3 linked regions of the Neurospora crassa OR74A genome follow. The protein of the gene in region 1 interacts with the protein of each later gene in a biochemical or structural test. Links are inferred from orthologs where the notes say so. Each region holds a gene or a part of one and is shown on either strand. Other genes may lie near its edges.

Evidence for each region.
Region 2: of the proteins of prm-1 (region 1) and NCU17030, one has a biochemical effect on the other in vitro, tested with the Saccharomyces cerevisiae proteins (4 studies listed by BioGRID). The link is inferred for Neurospora crassa OR74A from reciprocal best matches to the Saccharomyces cerevisiae genes HMT1 and HRP1.
Region 3: of the proteins of prm-1 (region 1) and NCU03092, one has a biochemical effect on the other in vitro, tested with the Saccharomyces cerevisiae proteins (2 studies listed by BioGRID). The link is inferred for Neurospora crassa OR74A from reciprocal best matches to the Saccharomyces cerevisiae genes HMT1 and NSR1.

What each region holds. Positions count from the first base shown.
Region 1 is NC_026501.1:553,741-560,244, reverse strand, and holds prm-1 (protein arginine N-methyltransferase 1), read right to left. Parts: upstream 4,282-6,504; 5' UTR 4,018-4,281; coding exon 3,932-4,017; intron 3,847-3,931; coding exon 3,833-3,846; intron 3,720-3,832; coding exon 3,590-3,719; intron 3,474-3,589; coding exon 3,142-3,473; intron 3,071-3,141; coding exon 2,592-3,070; 3' UTR 1,995-2,591; downstream 1-1,994. Other genes in the region: NCU16316 (hypothetical protein), read left to right, coding at 27-386; mob-2b (protein kinase activator), read right to left, coding at 5,281-5,812, 5,883-5,994, 6,058-6,325. UniProt on the Saccharomyces cerevisiae protein: S-adenosyl-L-methionine-dependent protein-arginine N-methyltransferase that catalyzes both the mono- and asymmetric (type I) dimethylation of the guanidino nitrogens of arginine residues in a variety of RNA-binding proteins such as heterogeneous nuclear ribonucleoproteins (hnRNPs) and small nuclear ribonucleoproteins (snRNPs).
Region 2 is NC_026505.1:5,320,231-5,326,487, forward strand, and holds the start of NCU17030 (heterogeneous nuclear ribonucleoprotein HRP1), read right to left. Parts: upstream 3,797-6,257; 5' UTR 3,182-3,796; coding exon 3,138-3,181; intron 3,072-3,137; coding exon 2,619-3,071; intron 1,146-2,618; coding exon 1,105-1,145; intron 987-1,104; coding exon 823-986; intron 756-822; coding exon 1-755. Other genes in the region: NCU04241 (TBC1 domain family member 22A), read left to right, coding at 4,536-4,580, 4,646-4,664, 4,754-4,763, 4,831-4,956, 5,039-6,257. UniProt on the Saccharomyces cerevisiae protein: RNA-binding protein, which is involved in the polyadenylation-dependent pre-mRNA 3'-end formation and cooperates with the cleavage factor CFIA complex and the cleavage and polyadenylation factor (CPF) complex.
Region 3 is NC_026501.1:4,517,230-4,523,466, reverse strand, and holds NCU03092 (nuclear localization sequence binding protein), read left to right. Parts: upstream 1-2,505; 5' UTR 2,506-2,741; coding exon 2,742-3,101; intron 3,102-3,161; coding exon 3,162-3,757; intron 3,758-3,819; coding exon 3,820-4,150; 3' UTR 4,151-4,996; downstream 4,997-6,237. Other genes in the region: NCU03094 (hypothetical protein), read right to left, coding at 161-417, 528-927; nuo12.3 (NADH:ubiquinone oxidoreductase 12.3kD subunit), read right to left, coding at 1,643-1,731, 1,856-2,081; NCU03091 (hypothetical protein), read right to left, coding at 5,836-6,237. UniProt on the Saccharomyces cerevisiae protein: Involved in pre-rRNA processing. Specifically binds nuclear localization sequences. Candidate for a receptor at the nucleus that may be involved in both RNA and protein transport. Binds telomeric sequences of the type (TG[1-3])n in vitro.

The sequences.
Region 1 (6,504 bases):
CCAACACGATGAAAAAGACGGACTAGGACTCCTCCTCTTCATCATCATCATCATCCACCACCGTAGCCCACTCACCAACCGATTCCATCCTCATCGCAAGCTTCGACGAAGGCGCAAATTGTCTCAAGCCACCTACCGACGACAGAAACACAACAACAACAACAACAGCAAGGCGACCCATCTTGGCTCCACTGTACGCCGGTCCGGAAGAGACGTTCCCCAATACGCCTCCTGTAGACGTCGTTCCCGAGCGCGAACCCGAGTGGGATGGCCTGGCGAGGTCGGAACCCCCGTTTCAACCCATGTTCATGGGCAAGCACTTTGATCCAAGGGATCCGTATCGGTATGGACGGGGACCTGCTCGGGGTCGTGGGGGAGGTCGGTAGGCTTCTTTTTTGATGGGGAGGTTAAAGGTGGGTTTGATGGGCTATAGTTCTTTGCTTTCATGATGTTGCTTTGTTATATTGGTGTTGGGTTGTGTTGGGTGGTTGGTTTGTTGGTATTATGCCTTGGACTGGACTGGTTTGGGGGAAACCATATACAAGAAAAGAAAAAAAAGGAAAAGAAAGCATCAAGGGAAAAGGCAAAAAGTTGGTGTTGATAGCATGGCGTGGTATGGCGTCGTTATATGGATATATACAGGATCTGAAGCAGATCTTTTGGTCGGCCCGTGGGATTCCATTTCTTTCTCTTTTCTCTTTTTTTTTTTTTTTTTTTTTTTTTCTTCATATAGCACAGAAAGGTACGACGACGACGGGATGGGATGATTTTTCTAGATTTCAAATTTCAAAAGTTCTTGCAACCTTAGGGTCTTCTTTCTTTTCTTTCTTTTTTTTCCTCCTCCTCCTCTTCTTTTGCATTTTTTTTTCTTCTGTCGACCATCACCCTCCAGATATACCCACTACTTTTGCTGTACTATTTTCTTGCTTCTTGCTTCTTGCTAGACTAGTTAGTTAGTTAGTTAGTTAGTTACTTACTTACTTACTTACTTACTTACTTACTTACTCACTTACTTACTTACTTAAAGTCAAACAGCAACCGTACCTAGTAACCTCGGAACCTCCGAACCTGCTTGCTTGTTTACTTACCTCCGTCTAGGTATGTAGGTACGTACGCAACTGCTGCAGAAGTGAGTGAGCTTAGCTTAGCTTAGCTTAGCTTAGCTTAGCTTCGCTCGTGCAGTACAGTGCAGTGCAGGACAACATCGATACCTACCTACCTAGGTAGGTAGTTACCACCACCTTGGAGGTACCTATTATAATTCATCCCCGCCTGGCAAACAAACAAAAGGTACCTACTAAGCAGAAAGCATCAATCAAAAAACTTCATTGGCAAAAACCGTACTAATGTACCTAACCTCGGACTAGGTATGTAGGGTAATCACAGTAATTTGCCTACCTACCTACCTAGATTAGTAGCCTCCATTATCTCTTCTTTTTTAAAGAATAAACGATATATAGCCGATTGACATATTAGACTACCTAGGCTGTATCATCTATTCTAGGTAGCGGGTACTAGTCTATATACAGATAATAACGAACAACAAGGCCTCTCCCTCAAAAACACTACCAATTACGATTTCACAACACAACTTTGTAAACACCTCCGCCCTACGATGGTGGCAGTGCGAGTCGTGCTTCATAACTCACTTAGCCGTTCGATAACGTTGAGCGTGGTGTTTTCGGCGAGAAGATGATAGTAATAGTTATGGCGGGTTGGGGGGTCGGAGATAGTAGTGGAAGATGGGGGGGCCAAATGAAGCTACAGCGTGTTTTTGATTTGCTTAATTTTCTCCGTCGCTGAACGCCTGAATTGGTGGTTTAGTAACCACCAAGCTCGAACAAAGATGATTCAACGTCCGGCTATGCGTTGTTTGATTGGCGCTTACTACCACCAACCTCAGCAAAGTTCATTTCGACTTTGGTCGGTTGATTAAAGTGCGGGTGTTCAATTCAACTTCGTCTGACGGGAACATCAGAAAATCATGCCTTGTTGTGGTATAGGTCGAGATTTCTCCATTTTCAACAAATTAACAAACTATACAACTCGTACTCAACTCTTTCTCCGTTGGGTATCGCATCAAGTATTCAGCATCACTATCTCATGATATCTCATTGTGATCAGTTATGAGCATTCCGTTGATGTTATCTTCCGGATGCTTTTGCAATCACGCACCCAACCCTGCGGGCCGAACGTATCGCGTTGTGATTTCGTGCTTTAATCAAGCATTGACTCATGTTTTCTCTGTGTATTACAGAGTAAGAGAGTTCCCTTATATGTATGTCTCTTCTTTCTTCCGCGCGCGCTTCCTTTCCGCTGCTGGATATCTAAGAAAACCCCTGGTCCCGCTAGTGAGTTCGTAAAAAGCAAAATATATGAAAAACACAAAACCCAGGTTAAAAAGCAACCCCTTCTCTTTTAAGACGCCGTGCAATTCCCAATACCCCCAAAAGCTTCGTTCGTGAATACTGTGAGCTCAACCACATCTCTTCGACCATCTCATGGACAAGGGGCGGCTTTTCAGCTCGCATCGTCCATTTGACTCGTCGATTCGACACTTTTGTCCGGCAGATCTGCAATCAAATAAAATACTAGCACATCTTGTACAAGCACCTGCCCTCAGCCTGCCTCGTGGGGTCTTGGTTCTCGAACTTGTAATCGACGGTGATATCAAGATCACGCTTGTTCTTCTGGTTGGGGCGGTTGTGGAGCGAGCACTGAACCTTCTCGCCCTGCTGGACGGTGAGGACGTCCTTGAGGTAGAAGACGGTCTGCTTCCAGTGGGTGTACTGGGTGTGGGGACCGGTCGAGAAGCGGATGGGCTTGTGGCAGGCAGTGAAGTCAATGTCGAACCAGGCGACAAGGGCGTGGATGAAGTCATCGCGTCTGGCGACGAGCTCGAAGTTGGTCTTGAAAGCCAGGTCGGCAGTGGTGCAAGTGTAAAGGTCGAGAGTCAAGATGTTGACGGGGTCAGTGACGACGGTCTTAACGTCAACAGTGTCGACAAGAGGCTCGGAGAGAGCAGTCTCCTTAAGAGGGCTGTAATCGAATCCGTAGACGTTGTCCCAGACTGGTAAACCGGTGTCAGTAGGAAGTTCTTCACAAAATCGAAAGCAAAAAAACCAGGGGCAGGAAACATACAGCCAATCTTCTCATCCTTGTAGTCACCGTCCTCGATACCAGCAATGAAGATGGTAGCCTTGTCGGGGAAGATAAGACCGCCGGGAGCCAGGTAACGGTCACGGGCGTAGAGGACAGTGTCCAACATGGACTCGTAGAGGAGGAAATAACCCATCCACTCAGAGATGATGATGTCAACCTTGGGGAAGGGAAGCTCGATCTCCTCCATCTTGCCCTGGATCAGGGTGATCTTGTCGGAGAGACCGTTGACCTTGACAATCTCACGAGCCTTGAAGATGATGGTGGACATGTCAACACCAATAACGTGCTTGGCGCCGGCCTTAGCGGCAAACCTGTGAGAAGAGAAGACGGTTAGCAGGCTGTTCCACCGTTTTTGGATTGCAGTGCTCGGCGCATTCCAGGACCGCCAGAGCTGCAGGTTTGCGTGATGCAGGGAGTGGGGACGTACATGGAGAGGATACCAGTACCGCAACCGACATCGAGAACGATCTTGTCCTTAAAGAGATGCTTGTTCTGGACGATAGAGTGCATGTATGACTTGGTTCTGACCTCGTCCTTCAACATTTCCTCGTGGATGCCTTTGTCGCGCAACAGGTCCAGGTTAGCAACAGTCAGACTATGAACGGCCACGAGGCCAACTAGGAAGCGCGCAGTCCGTGGACCCCGCGATAAGCGGATGGAGGTGTCTCACCATGGTGGTTATAGCTAGAGAACGAAGTCATGTTAGCTTTGATCTGTCTCTACCACCATATAACAACAACGAGAAGAGACGAGACGGTCATGTTCGTACCTGTTGAAGTAGTGCTGCTCGGCGTGATCCATGCTCTTGAGCTTCTGCTCGGCAACCTCAATGTCCATCTGATCGTTGGCCGCCATCTTGACTGTTGTTGATGCTGCTGTTGGTGCTGTTTGTGTATGGGAAAACAGACAAGAATAAAAGATGAATTGGTGTAAAGAAACCAAAAGGAATCAAAGAAGAGGAAAATGTAAAGCTGGAAAATTTGCAGGGCAGCTCAGCGATGGAGATAAAAAGTGGGAAGGAGGATGGAGAGGCAGGTTCGAAGGGGAGCCTGATGCTTGTGAAGTTTTCTTCGTGTGCCGCAATGGCAATTGCCCAGACGGGTCCAGCATGGCCTTTCCTTGCCTCAACTTTTTGCCTGGCCCCGTCAGAGATTGGGTTGCCAAATCAGATCCATACCCCACTTCAACTTGGGTTGTGCTGGGCTCCAGAGATGGAGAGGGAGGCAGTTCCTGGGTGGGGTGGGGTCCTGGGGGGCTTTCCCGCCTGCCCGCAAGAGTACCCGCCCGAGTCGTCACCCACACGGGCCCGACACCTCACTTACACGCGTAGGTACAGGGCTGTCCGACATCCGCGCAGGCACTGACAGGCACGCCTGGCACAACCTACTATGTACCTAGTACACTAGTACAGTCTGCGCGCCGGGCCCCCCGAACATGGGGACTACAACTGAAACCGCTTTATCGCATTATCCGATCTCTTGCCCCCCGCGACGCCGTCCCATCTCCAGGCTTGTCCCCTTTTGGATCTGGCGTGCCTAGCTCGGTCTTGGCAGTCTGGGCCGCTGATGGGCCCTTTTGGACCCTTTTTGGAGCACTCCACCTCACTGGCCCCCTCCCCTGGTGCTTGCCACTTTGGCGCTAGGTCTAGCCCGTGCTCCCATTGATGTATCTGACATCAGGTGTAACCCCAACGTGGGTTTGGATATCTTGAAGGGTGTTGTATTGTAGAGATCTGGCATTTCCCTTTCAACGCCATTCAGATCCATGATAAATGAGCCATCACTTCTCAACCTTCTTTCGAACACTCAAGCGACTAAGAGATCTAACTGCCCCTTGCCCTCTCGAGTCAGCATCCCAGTAAGGACAAGCCATTTTCCTTCAGCAAACGCCCAGATATATATAGTGATACTTTTCGTCTTGGTATTAGTCTCCTCATCCATCGCTTTTCTGGCCTGCCACATCTAACTCCCGTTCAATGTACACATGGCCATTATCTATCCTCTAGAGTAACCCAACATAACCGAGATAGATCAGGATACTCCACATGTTGACAAGCCTCATCATGATATGCTCTGTTTTTCCCCATAACATCCCCTTGTTTTCTTCATGCTCCTGTAATTAAGCCAGGCCTGCCATCTGCATCAGGCGAGTGCCAACCTTCAAGTTGGCGTACTCATAAGCCTTCGATTCCGGTGGAAAGGTACCATTGGCGGCCCAGAGATCAATCAAAGGCTGCATTGGCTCAAGCTCGGCCGGCTTGAGCATATCGAGGGCGGTCGCTGTCAGCACAAAATGGCTGAAACAGCTGTTGAGTTGCTTCTCCAAGTTCAAATGGTAGAAGGGCTCCGTAAAGTGGGCCCAGTAAAGGTGAGCGTAGACGCGGAACATCTGGAGGAAGATGGTCTGGCAAATGTTGAAAAACTCCTTGGGGAATCCGCTGCGCTTGCCGATCCAGTCGTCAGGACCCGTCAAAAGTGCCGTTGTGGTAATCTGAGGGTTATGCGCAAACGAAACCCCCGACGCCTCGGTGGGGAACATCTTGGTATCGTCAATCTTGCCCGAAATCCACCGCTGCATCAGAGTAATGTACTCATATGCTGGGAGCTCAATGGGCTCAAAGCGGCTGTTTAGCCACGTGTACGAGTGGTTCCTGTGCCCATTTCTGTTAAAACAGATCCTTGAGGTGCTTCGACATGGGCATTGGGGGTTTCCGTTCTTACGTTCCAGCGGACATCCTGGGGCAGGTAATGGAGTTGCAAATCGACTTTCCATCCTCTTCCTTTTCGTATACAACTCTGACAAAGTTCCACAAGTTGCGGTAATGCTCAACCACTACATGATGATGTCAGTGGACACGATAACGTGTAACAGTCACAGACAAGGATCATGAATTACCTTGATGAGCAATCCACTCGCCCTGCTCCACCGTCTTGGGCCTAGCGCTGAGTGTCATAAAGTTGCCCTTGACGATGTGCTTCGCGGCCGTCGGGTTCAGCCACAGTGGCAGTGGCCTGGGAAGATGATAGGCGTTGAGGGCCTCTTCACCAGTGCCCATCATACCGATTGACTGAGATAGTGAGGGTGAGGCAGGAAGTGGCGGTAGCTTGGAGGACAGGTTGGCTGAGCTCTGGCTGGAGATGGAGTTGTTGCTGGGTGAGGGCATATGATGATGGTGAACATCGTCGGTGGCGGGTGATTGGGGGGGTTTTGTTTGACGTGGTTTTGTTTGCCGTGCCTCTCAGGCGGGCATTTCTGGTTGGGTCAGCATCTGTCGACAAACCCAAGACATGTTTGTATTCAGGACCGGATATTGGAGGATGATGAAGGACAAAGAAGGTTGAA
Region 2 (6,257 bases), on another chromosome or scaffold:
CCGCCCATCATTTGCTGCATCATCGCCGGGTTCATGCCCATGGCGGCAGCCATCGCCTGGGGGTTCTGCGCGTTAGGCCCCTGACCCGCGCCGACACTACCAGCGCGGCCACCGCTGCCTTGCTGTCCTGCACCCGCCTGAGCCGCGGCATGGGCTTGCTGAGCGGCCATCATCTGTTGTTGCATTTGTTGCATCTGCTGCATCTGCATCATTTGGACCATGGGGTTCTGCATGCCCCTGTTCATGGCCATCTGTTGCTGCATCATCTGGAAGGCCTGCTGCATCCGCTGGAGATACTGGGCCATGAGTTGGGGGGTCATACCGGCAGTGCCGGCGCCGCCCATGCCGCCCATGACATTCATACCGCCTTGACCGGAGCCATCATCCATGCCACCACCTTGCTGACCGCTGCGGCGCTGGCCGAACTTGCCGCCGCCGCGTCTCGCAGCTTCCTCAGCCTCCTCGCGCAGGTTGCCGCGGGGTTGGGCTTTCTTGACTTCGATAGGCTTACCATGGATCTCAAGGTTGGCAGAGAGACACGCCTCGACGCCAGCTTCGGACTCAAAGGTGACGAAGCCGAAACCACGGGGACGGCCAGTGTCCTTATCCATCATGAGGGTGGCATCGACGACACGGCCGAATTGGGCAAAGTACTCGCGGAACTCGTGGTCCGTGGTCTCCTGAGAAACGCCACCAACAAAGATCTTGGAAGTCTTCTCTTGCTCATCGCGGGGAATGGCGCGCTTCGGGTCGATCTATAAGGAGAATGAGTTAGTGGCCACTTATTTGACGGGTTAGACGAGCTATGGCGGGCAAACGTACGATCTTGCCGTCAAGGTAGTGTTCCTTGACCATAACAATGTTCACTGTTTTTGGGTCCTTGAAGGTAAGAAATCCGAAGCCACGCGAGCGACCGGTGGCGCCATCTCTCATAACGGTGCATTCTACAACCTCGCCGAACTGCGAGAAGTAATCTCTCAGGGATTCTAAAAAGTCACAAGACCGGTATCAGTACAACTGTCACGAATACCATATGGTACATATGGTGCCCCTTGAGGGCAACAATTACCATGAGGAGAGGACAGGGAAAATGGCAAGGCTTACGGTCTGTAGTCTCCCAGTTCAGGCCACCAATGAACATCTTCCTATAAGACACAAGCGCACGCGCAAGACGTTAGTCAACATCATCTTTTGAGCAATCTATGATACCTGGACATGAACAAGTAAGCGTAACATGAGGGCAGTGAAGAATGTGTGGGCTCGATGAGATGAAATGCGGATGTGAGAAAGACATTGCGAGTGATCAAGCAAACAGCCCCAGCCGCCTAGCCCTTTAGACACCCAAATCCTGAGCGAATCCGCATATGGCTACACGCGAACCCAAGAGCTACCAATCAGTGTGATGCGGAAGCATGTTTGTAGCCGTTGTTTGGAGAGGCGCGTGCATATAGCGTGAACTGGGGAAGCAAGCCCATTTGCCCAGCCGTTGCGCCAGGACTTGAGCAGCCTCAGGTAATGTCTATCCCAGACCTCTAGTTCGACCACATGGACCGTCTACCGTCATGATCCTTGACATAGCATGGGCTCCACCATCAATATCCGAAGAACTACCCTTCATCTTGTTTATACTGGGCCTGGTGTTTTGACTGTGGGTGTGGCAATGGATGTGATTCTCCCGTTGGCTTCGCAGGTTGGCGGAGCCCACCGACCGAGGACCGTATGATGGTTGTCATTTGGCGAATGAGAAGTTGGAAGCCGCCTCCGCGATGTTCTCAAGGGTGACGAGACGACTGCTGTCCTAATGTGCCGAATGCTGACTTGACTTGACGGAAATGGGCCAGGGTGGGGGGATGCTACGGCAGTTCCCAGAGTGAACAGAAGATGCAGCAGCGCAGCAATGTTCCACTTTCCAAGTGGTCTCTGGGTGTGCCGGAATCTTTCTTCGAATTTTTTTGCTGTCTCGAGCTCTTTGCTACCGTCAAGCTAGGTACTGTCTGTATCTGTTCTGGGTGCTGCCCTTCTCGCTGCTAATCTTGCTCTGGCTGCAGGCTCATCGACCGTCCTGGCAAAAGGAAGCCGGTTCCCTCACGCCCTATTAAGATTACCTCCGCAAGGCCATCCACCATTCTTGTAGTACAGACAGGAGCGTACTCCGGGATCAATCTGACGTCGAAGCTTGATCCATGGCGTGACCCTGGACAAGTCCACGGCTTCCAGCCTCTTTTCTCCCGATTTTTATGTTCACGTCCATAGCGGAGAGCGATCCCTTCCTGCCTTTGATCACTTGCAGTCTTGTAGCCCCTGGTGCATCCATACGGTATGGTTCACCCATACGCGCCAGAGTAACTCAGAGTGTCTGATACCAAGACTCTACTGTGCTCATCAGGTCCTTGCGCCGCCCAATCCTTCCATTCCCTACCAGCCAACCGAGCAGTTCTGGGACGCCACGTCCTGAGCGGGTCTCGAGTAGGTGTTCATCTCTTCATGTGGGAGAGCCTGGGCGGGGCTGCAGCTGCGTCGGGGCGAAATCGAGGATACAGAGAGGGGTTGTACGGGGGTTGGGGGATGTTACGAGCATATACGTGTGTCACGAATAGCATCAAGGGGATGTGACTTACCCATCTTCTTTGGCATTGGGGCCCTTGTGTTGGGCCTGGGTCGGTGGGGGAGCATGATATTGCGATTGAGACTGGCTGTTGTTGTTGTTGTTGTTGTTGTTTTGGTTGTTGTTTTGGTTGTTGTTGTCGTCCTCATGGCGAGCGACCGTGGTGGACGGGCCGCTTCCGAGATTGAAGTCGATATCGTCTTCGTCTTCGTCTTCTTCCTCATCGTTGCCGTATTGTCCGTTGCCTCCATTGTAGTAGCCTTGCTGACTGTAGTCGTTGGATCCTCCGTAGTTGTCAGCAGCCGACTGCTGGACGGCGGCAGCTTGTTGCTGCTGCTCTTGCTGTTGCTGCTGTTGCTGCTGTTGTTGAGAAGGCTGCTCAGTAGCTGAAGTCTGAGCTGTAGTGGGGGCGGAAGCTGGTGCAGCGGCTGGCTTTGAGGCAGCGGGAGCGTCGTCGTCGTTGTACCTAGTTCGCAAGAGTGTCAGATCATGTTCAGATTGGGTGGTTACGCGAGTACTCAAAATAACATACAGGTCGTCGAAGAGGTCATCCTCGTAATTCTCTGCTTCGGCCATTTTGGCGGTTGTTGTGTGTTTGAATACCGGGTATCGAAGATGGAAAAGAGATGAGAGTTGAGGTTGATTCAGACTGGTATTTGTGTGGAACGCTGAGATGGCGTAGGGCGGGGAAGGATTGCTGGAAGTAGACCAGGCCGAACAAGGTCAGAAAGAATACACAACTTAAGATGGTCTAGTCGTCGAGAAGCAGCGAGACGCGAATGGATCGTAGTGGTCGAGTTGTCTCGTCGCAAGAAGAGATGCGGCGGATGGACCTCGGAGCAGCTCAAGTAGAGCCCGAGGTGGGTGGAAGTCGAGTCCGTCAGGTGCTTGTACAGTTTCCTCCCTCAGATCAAAAGACCCGAATTTGGGCACGGATTGGGTGTACAAGTGAACTAATGAAGTCGTCGGTTGTGGTTGTGATTGCTGCTGTCGAGGATGACTTGACTTGGGTAGAAAAGTGAAGGTGGAAAGTGTGGAAGAGTGGACGTCGTTTGCTTTTCAAGTGAAGAAACCGGACCTGGAACTCCATCAGTCTGCCTGCCTCAGTCCCCTCGCCGCTGCCCTGCAGTCCCATTCAGTTTGGCGCCGAGTGTTAAGGTTCGGTCGGGTGTGGACCCCGATTCAAGGCACCGGCACCGCGAGTTGGGGCGCTTCCGGCAACCAAGACTTGGGGTCGGGTACTAACAAAAAGACGTTACCTACCTTAGGTACTACCTCTACATGACTCCTCTACGGCACTTCCCTTGCCCACCTAGGTGGCAGTCGCGTGTCTAGAGGTAGGTACCTATGGTAGGTCTGCAAGGGCCAATTACCTCTAGGCGCGTAGGCGGTGAGAAACAGCCTATACAACGAGGCCTGTGTACCTGCGGGGAAGGGGGTGCCAGTCCAGCGCACCTTATCACACCCTCTGAGGTGGGCTGCCCATGCGCTGTAGTGGTTCAAGTTGTGAGCGACATCGGCTGCCCGTCTGAGGCTGGCGAACAGCTGGCGAGCTGTGACAGGCGGACGGTGTCCAACTGAAGTCAATCACTGCTGGAACAGGAAGGCAAAGACACCGAGATGAGATGACCTGAATGATGGGCAAGATGCCCTGGACGTGCCCGGTTGCCAAAAGCCATGTGTTTGTTAGTGGCCCCGAGCCTGGCAACCGCTGTGTACCCAGGAAACGAGCCGATGGGCTTAACACGACCACGCCATCAATGAATTGAAGGGAACAGGAACGGCCACTTCCATTGTCTGCCTGTCTAGCTCCATGGACATTCCCTCCGTCCCTTTCAACGAACGACATTGTTGACCATGGTGTGATGCCATTGCGCTGGTAAACCAAGGCGAAATCACCAGTCCTGTTTGTATACTACCCACTCACATAATGTTTTCTTCTTCTTCGAGCTCGGGCAAGAAAGCGTCTCCCCAGGTACGTGTTAGTGCTTCATTTCCTCACTCCAATGATGCTAACAGGCCATGATGTCGCTACGCCAGCAGGAGATGGTGCAAGTTGGTATGTCCTGCCTGATGACTACAACCCCCCCCTCTTTCGTTGTTTGTTGTATAACCAGTTGCTGATCCCATGTCCCGTCATGGCTTCAGACAGGTCCGAGTATGTCCCAAGTCCTATTCCTAAACTCAAAGACGGAAACACTGACATGACTCGGACAATGCGACAGCTCTGGCTCCCCTTTTTGGAGAGCGCCCCAGAAGGATGCCCCGCTAAAGAAGACGACCACTCGCGACTCGGGCAAGGTCGTTGGCGCTGCCTATTCCCATGCCGACATGCTCAAGTTTGATTCATTGTGCGTTGGTGCCGGCGTTACTGTTTGGATGTCTCTCTGGGAAACGACGGCGTCTTTGCTGACTATGGCGCTCTTGGACTAGAAATCTGTCGAACGCCGGATCGCGACCACGAACCCCTCCTCCCTCGTCCTCTGCCCTCGGCCGAACCACTTCCAATAGTACAGCCTCGCCCCATATCAAAGGGGTGACATCACCTCCTTTCCAAAACTACATGAATTTCATAACGAGCACCAACGAAGACTGGGCGGCCGACGACGCAGACGATGTATACGCCTACGAAGACGATGGTGACGATGACTTTGGGCTTCCCAGTCTGTCCAGCATGAAGAGGAGGTCGCGTCGGATCGCAGCGCAGACTGAACAAGGAACCAGCCGAGGAACTGCGACAAACACACTCACAGACGCAACCGGACGTCGCTACTCGGACAGCGCCGACATAGCCATCGAGCGACCAGCATCTACCTACCCAATGCCCAAGAAGACCGAAGGCAAGATCCTCCGACCACAGTACAGAGACATACTCCGCGATCCCGCAAACGCCCTACACCTAATCAACCATCCTTCCGTACCACCTAATGCTTCCCAGAAGGAAATCGATGCTGTCAACTCGAGGATAACCAGGATCAACAAATTCAAAAAGATTCTTCAAGCATCAACCATCCCTCTAAACGACCTTCGAGCCCTAGCTTGGTCTGGCGTACCAGAAGAAGTCCGCGCCATGACGTGGCAGCTCCTGCTAAGCTACCTCCCCACCAGCAGTGAAAGGAGGGTGGCCACACTAGAGCGCAAACGAAAAGAATACCTGGACGGCGTACGACAAGCCTTTGAACGAGCAGGTGGCGCTCCACCACCATCCACCGGGAAGGGAGGCGGAGGCAACCGCGGCCTAGACGAAGCCATCTGGCACCAGATCAGCATCGACGTTCCTCGAACGAACCCACACATTGAGCTCTACGGCTACGAAGCAACACAGCGCTCTTTGGAGCGTATCCTCTACGTATGGGCGGTCCGACACCCAGCGAGCGGCTACGTACAGGGCATCAACGATCTGGTGACGCCCTTCTGGCAAGTCTTTCTAGGCACATACATCACAGACCCAGACATAGAGAGCGGCATGGACCCGGGCCAGCTGCCTAGGGCGGTGCTGGACGCCGTCGAGGCCGACACGTTCTGGTGCCTGACGAAGCTGCTGGACGGCATACAGGACCACTACATTGTTGCGCAACCGGGCATTCAGAGGCAGGTAGCGGCGCTGAGGGACCTGACACAGAGGATCGACGCCGGGCTGGCGAAGCACTTG
Region 3 (6,237 bases), about 4.0 Mb from region 1:
TGCTGCTGCTGCTGCTGCTGCTGCTGCTCTAGCCGTCCCTCCTTCTCTCCCTTCACGTGCTCCCCCTCTTCTTTTTCTTCCTTCCCACCCATCTCCTCCCATGTTTCGTCCTCGTCCTCCCTCGGGCCTCTGCCTCTCGAACCACCACCACCCCTCATGCTTACATAGCCTTGAGGTAGTTACTCTCCTTAATCTTGGCCTTGCGCTCCTTGCGCATCGCCTTGCGCAGCTCCTCCCGCTTCTCGTCCGCCAGCACGGCATCCTGCACGCCGCCGTTCACAGCTCCGGGGAGGTTGACCGACTGCTTCTGTAGCGGGATCTTGGGTGCCAGGGCCTCGAGGTCGCCGGAAGCCAGGATCTTGGCCTCTTGGGCGCGCGCGCGCTTCATGGCTAGGCGACGCTGTTTCTTGGATTTGGCTTTTGGAAGAAAGGAGAGTGTGTTAGTCTGGATTGCTTTTTTTTGGGAAGGGGGGATGGAAAAGGAAGGTGGGGAGGTAGGTAGGTAGGTAGGTAGGTTGGCAACATACAGAACTCATCACCAGCGTCCGCATCAGCAGCATCGTCCGTCTTCTTCTGCACCTCCAAGCACCTCCAGAGCCACTCTGGGTACTCCTCGTCTGGCAGTGCCACGGGATCCGCCTTGTTCTTGAAGTAGTTGAGACCGTTAAGCTTGGTGCCCGCCGGGCAAGACGAGATGGCCGCCTTGGCTTGTTCTGTCGTCGCGGCGCCTGGTACTGGTGCGAGGCCGGCCTCGGCTGTGGAAGTTGCTGGTGCGGCGGCGGCGGGGGTCGCTGCGGGAGGAGTGCACACGCTGAAAGTGGTACTGAAGGCGGCGCGCGAACTAGCGGCAACCATGGGCCTGGTGGCCGCGGCGGCGGCAGGTCTGGCGAAGCCGGAAGCCCGGCGCAAACACGTTCGGCAGATCATGGCGATTATCCCGGGGGATGGTCGGAGGTGTATGTGTGTAATCGTCGGCAGTCGGCCAGTGGGAATTACACCAAGGATCGGATCGATTGGATAGACAACTCGCTTAAATCAGCTTCACAGGTGCGAATGTAAAAAGACACGCCGGCCGGAAGTGGCTTTCGGCCTGGGGAGACGGACACGGGATGCGCGCGACGAATTGGAGGGGTGGGACGGGAGCTAAAAATTTCTACGGCGGGTGAAAAGCACCACTGGAGCAGTTTTGATATTGGACAGGAACCGTTGCAGCTGTTACTAGGGCAGTGACAACTAAAGCACTTTATGTATTCTATAGTCCAAATCTGCGAACTGTACAGACAACATACGTGCAGAAGAATAAATGAAAAAAATAAAAAAAATGGGAGGCCGAATTGAGTCCTGTTATTCCTCTAGTCCCCCGTGTGTCTGTTGTTGCCGAGTTCTGTTAATATTTACATGCCTGCTCGTAAGTCTCATTAAAGGGCCCGAGCACTCCTCTGGGGGTTGCTGAAGCCGAACGTCTGAAAGGGTGGTCCGCGATGTTATGGAGCCCCTTCCCGGTTCGACCATGACTGACTCGCTCTCCGGTTCTCGAGCGCACTGCCCTGCCAAAACTCTCGCTGCCCAGATCATTTCAGCCCCAAATCAGCTCGCTCCAGCTTGTACCCTCCGGTCTGCTCCCAGAATGATGGAGGAGAACTCATTGCTTTGGCTGGTTCGCGAAATGGTTCTGCTGCTCGAAAAGATAACCCTGGACACGGTTTTCGGAGAGTAGTTGGAGGTAGCGTTCTGTGTCAGAAACAAGTCAGCAAGAGAAGGGGAAAAAGCACCATCGCATGGCTGATTGCATGCAATTGCTGAATGGTTCTGCCGCCAAAGAACCACGGGAGATGGGAAGCACTCCTGTACCCACCTCTCAGATGTCCGCACTTCTCCAGATGGTTCACGCCCTCCCTATAATAGCACTTGGACAACTCCTCCCGCACCAGGCGACCCATCATAACTCGGACCCATTGCTCGCGGATAATGGCATCCTGGGCCTGCTTCAGGCGCTTCGTATCATTGTAGTCGACGCCGTCAAAGGTGGGCGGGACGGTGGGCTTCTTGGCCAGGAAGGCCGCCGATTCGGGAGTAGGCATTGCTGCTAGATGTGGGCGACTCGCGAGAGAAGACCGAAAGCACAAGTTGTCGTCAAACAAAGCTGTAGAGAGGGAGAGAGACGCAGCTTATCGTCCCGCACTTTCGTCTCGTCGATGATGCCGTTGCAACCAACACGGCGCATCTCTAAGCTCCAAGTGGTGCCCCGGTCGTATGGTGGCTCGAGCTTTACAGCACACCTGGGAAACCAGGCAGGCAGGGACGCGCTAGCCCAAATGCTGTTCGTCTTTCGGACCATGCAGTAAAGTTGCAATTGACGGGGGGTCGTGGGCCGTGGCAGGCATGGGAAGGAACTTTCAGGTGGAACGAACTTCCCCACCGCGGCTCGTGCGCGGGCCACCGCCTTCGCGTGTGTACATAACCTCCACCCGGATCCTCCACTGCCCCAGGTCCCCTGCCCCACTAGAAAGTCCCATATCAAAGTGTGATAACGATTTTTTTTTCTGCCGTAGGTTGATCAGCCAGAGATTTTACGGTACCCGCCACCCTCTGCTCCCCATTTAAACAGCAGTCTTCCCGACGAAATTTCTTTTCTTCAGACGCATCCTTTATCCCATTCATCATCTTCATCCTTCTTTTTTCTTCAATACCCTTTAGCGGATTCCATCACTTCATCACATCACTTTACAACAACCGCTATCATGGGCAAGAAGGATTCCGTCAAGGCCACCAAGGCCACCAAGGTCGCCAAGGCCGAGCCCGTCAAGGCTGCTAAGCCCGTCAAGGCCACCAAGGCTGAGAAGCCCTCCAAGAAGTCCAAGAAGGAGGAGTCCTCTTCCGAGGAGGAGGAGTCCGAGTCTGAGTCTTCTGAGGAGGAGTCCAGCGAGGATGAGTCCAGCGATGAGTCTTCCGATGAGGAGATGACCGACGCTCCTGCCGCCAAGGAGACCAAGAAGGCCGAGTCTTCCGACTCTGACTCCGATTCTGACTCTGACGACTCCGAGTCTGAGGAGACTTCCGAGGAGGAGAAGCCCGCCGTCAAGGAGGAGAAGAAGGAGAGCGTGAGTACAACATAACTTCCTCTTCATAGTATACATCTGCTAACCCACGTCTGCTTATAGTCCGATGATGAGGAGAGCGACTCCGACAACTCCGATTCCGACTCTGACTCTGACTCTTCCGAGTCCGAGGAGAAGTCTGAGTCCGAGGAGCCTTCCAAGAAGCGCAAGGCTGAGGAGTCCTCCGAGGAGGAGGAGGCTCCCAAGAAGGCCAAGACTGAGGAGGTTGCCGACGACAAGAGCACCCTCTGGGTTGGTAACCTCGGCTGGGGTATCGATGATGCTATCCTCTTGGCTGAGTTCGAGGACTGCGAGGGTGCTAAGAGCGCTCGCGTCGTCACTGACCGTGAGTCTGGCCGCTCGCGCGGTTTCGGCTACGTCGACTTTGCCACCAACGAGCAGGCGCAGAAGGCTTATGATGCCAAGAGCGGTGCTCTTCTTGAGGGCCGTGAGATGCGTCTCGACTTCGCTGCCAAGGATGCCGGCAACAAGCCCCAAGACAAGGCCGCCAACCGCGCTGCCAAGCACGGTGACACCATCTCTCCCGAGTCCGACACCCTCTTCGTCGGTAACATGCCCTTCTCCGCCGACGAGTCTGTCGTCTCCGACTTCTTCAACTCCGTCGCTTCCGTTGCCAGCCTCCGTATCCCTACTGACCAGTGAGTATCCCACTATACCTTTGTGTGCATCTTTGCCGAGCAGAGTTTTAACAGTCTTCTAGGGAGTCCGGCCGCCCCAAGGGCTTCGCCTATGTTACCTTCAACTCCGTTGAGGATGCCAAGAACGCTTTCGAGCAACTGAACGGCTCCGACCTCAATGGCCGTCCCGTCCGTCTCGACTACGCCAAGCCCCGTGACAACAACGGTGGCGGTGGTGGCTTCGGCGGCGGCCGCGGTGGTGGCCGTGGCGGTGGCCGTGGTGGTTTCGGTGGCCGTGGTGGTGGCCGTGGTGGCCGTGGTGACTTCGGTGGCCGTGGCGGTGGCCGCGGTGGCGGACGGGGTGGTTTCGGTGGCAGCCGTGGTGGCTTCCAGGGCAAGAAGACCACCTTCTAAAGTGGTCAAGTGGGATTCCCGCACACATTGGGGAATGTGATACCATAACCTGAGGGCATTGAAACACAGATTCGCACTGGAGGGCTTAGTGGGTTGTCGGCTTTTGAAATCTTACAGTGTCTCCTTCGTGGGAGATCGTGGGCTTTTTGAGAGATAACTGCTTCCCTGCTGCGTGGCAGGGAAAGCAAGCGATACCTGAGGGCTTGAAGATGGTGGTGAGCTGGTAGCTCTTTGACAGCTCGTTCGTACATGGCACGTCTGTTCTTTCTCAACAGGAAAGTTAGGACCTCTGCCGGTGGGCTTGTTGGCTGGTTCCATGACCCTTGCGCGGTCGTCTGCACTTTGGATTCGATGCATACCAGAAGAATGATGGGTTCCAAGTACTCTGTGGGCTCGTGGGCTCTTGTGGGCTTTAGCTGACAAAACGGAAGAACGGAAAAGCGAGGACCTGTACTTGCACATGCCACAAACATGTGTTCACACAGCCTTATCCAGTCTGTGCTTCGAGGGTGGTTCATCGTTTCCTGTTCTTTTCCGCATACTATTGTCATTGCTTCTTCCTGTGGGGTTACTAAAGAGGGCATCTAAAAGTTGGTTTGGGATTTTCCGGTACAATCACGGGGTCACCTGGGGGCACTTAAAATGGGTTTCGGGTCTTTTCTTTTTCTTTTTTTTTCATATCAGCATTTGCCCTTCACGATACATCATCGATGGCGTAACGGTACAGAACACGGGTGATCCTTCTTAACGAACATTACCCGGTAAGTAATCTGATACTCTTCCCCTGTTTCATATACCCAAGTCCCAACGGACTAGAAGTAGCAAGAAAGAAGTATTGTTCAGTAACTGTGTTGTTCCAATGATGTGACTTGCCGTTATGTATGTGATGTGGTATTTTGAGGCGTAGACTTGTGTGTATGTATGTCGATAGGATCTTCAAAAAACTGCTCGTTCACAAAAGTCTTGATCATTCGTCACGTGTTTCAACATGGTCACAGTTGACCGCGATAGCTCCCAAAGTGTCACGAAGCAAATCCCCAAAAAGTTGAATTCGATGAACTCGGTTCGTCTACAAGTCATCTCAACAGTCGATACACAAACAAGCCCAAACTAAAGCCAAAGTCACGCAACACCAACAAAAAAAGAACCTAGACCTGCGACCAAATCGGGTAACCAAAATAACAAGATCAAATCCGAGTCCCGAATGAAAAAGACAACCAAGATGGGAAGAAAATATGAAGAAAATATGAAAAAAATAGCAGATTAAGAAGGTTAATGATGCGTGTATGCGTATGGCTGTCCCCATGATGCCAGATATTGAAGGTAAATGTTCTGCATACAATCGTTCTCTCCTCTCTTTGCAGCATTTGTTGGGGAATATTTCCTTCCAACGTCGTCGTCCATCGACTTGGATTCTTTCCGTGAAAGACCTATTTGGCCCAGCACCATCGGTATGATAAATGACGAGAGTTGATTCCCGCTGCAGCCGTAGCCGTAGTTGGTAGCAGCCAGTTGCCGTTATCGTTAGTGCTTTAGTGGATATTCTTCATAAAGCTCGTGTTGTACAAGAGCATGTTGGCTGGCTGACCAGGAGTTCCGTTCTCCCTCCTTTTTTGTTCTTTCATCTTTGAAGCCGATCGATAAACAGACATGTCGCTCGTCAAAGTCGTAACGCGTTGCATCGTTCAAGCAACGACACTCCTTCCAACCGAGCCCCACCTAAACCTCTTCAGCGTTCCGCTCGTCGTAGACCGCACAAACTCCTGGCCGCAGCTCGAAGAAGCGTTCGAGGCCGCTGATCCTGCAGAGGCCAGGCTTAAAGCGCTACTGCTCTCTTGTCGGCCGACTTCCCGTCCGATGACGTAGCCGGCGCCGAACCCGACGACTGACACGAGAACTACCACGCCGGCGCTTACCACCCATGTCAACACGGTCGGGCTTAGGAAGAAGGGGGAGGCGACATCGTTATCTGACACAACCCCCGCTGGCGAGGGTGAGTTTGCCCTCCTCTTCTTCGCGGTACGCGCTGGTTTCGAGGCAGGGTTTGCTCCCTGCTTGGTCCGTTCGGTCGTGGCAAGACCTTGTTG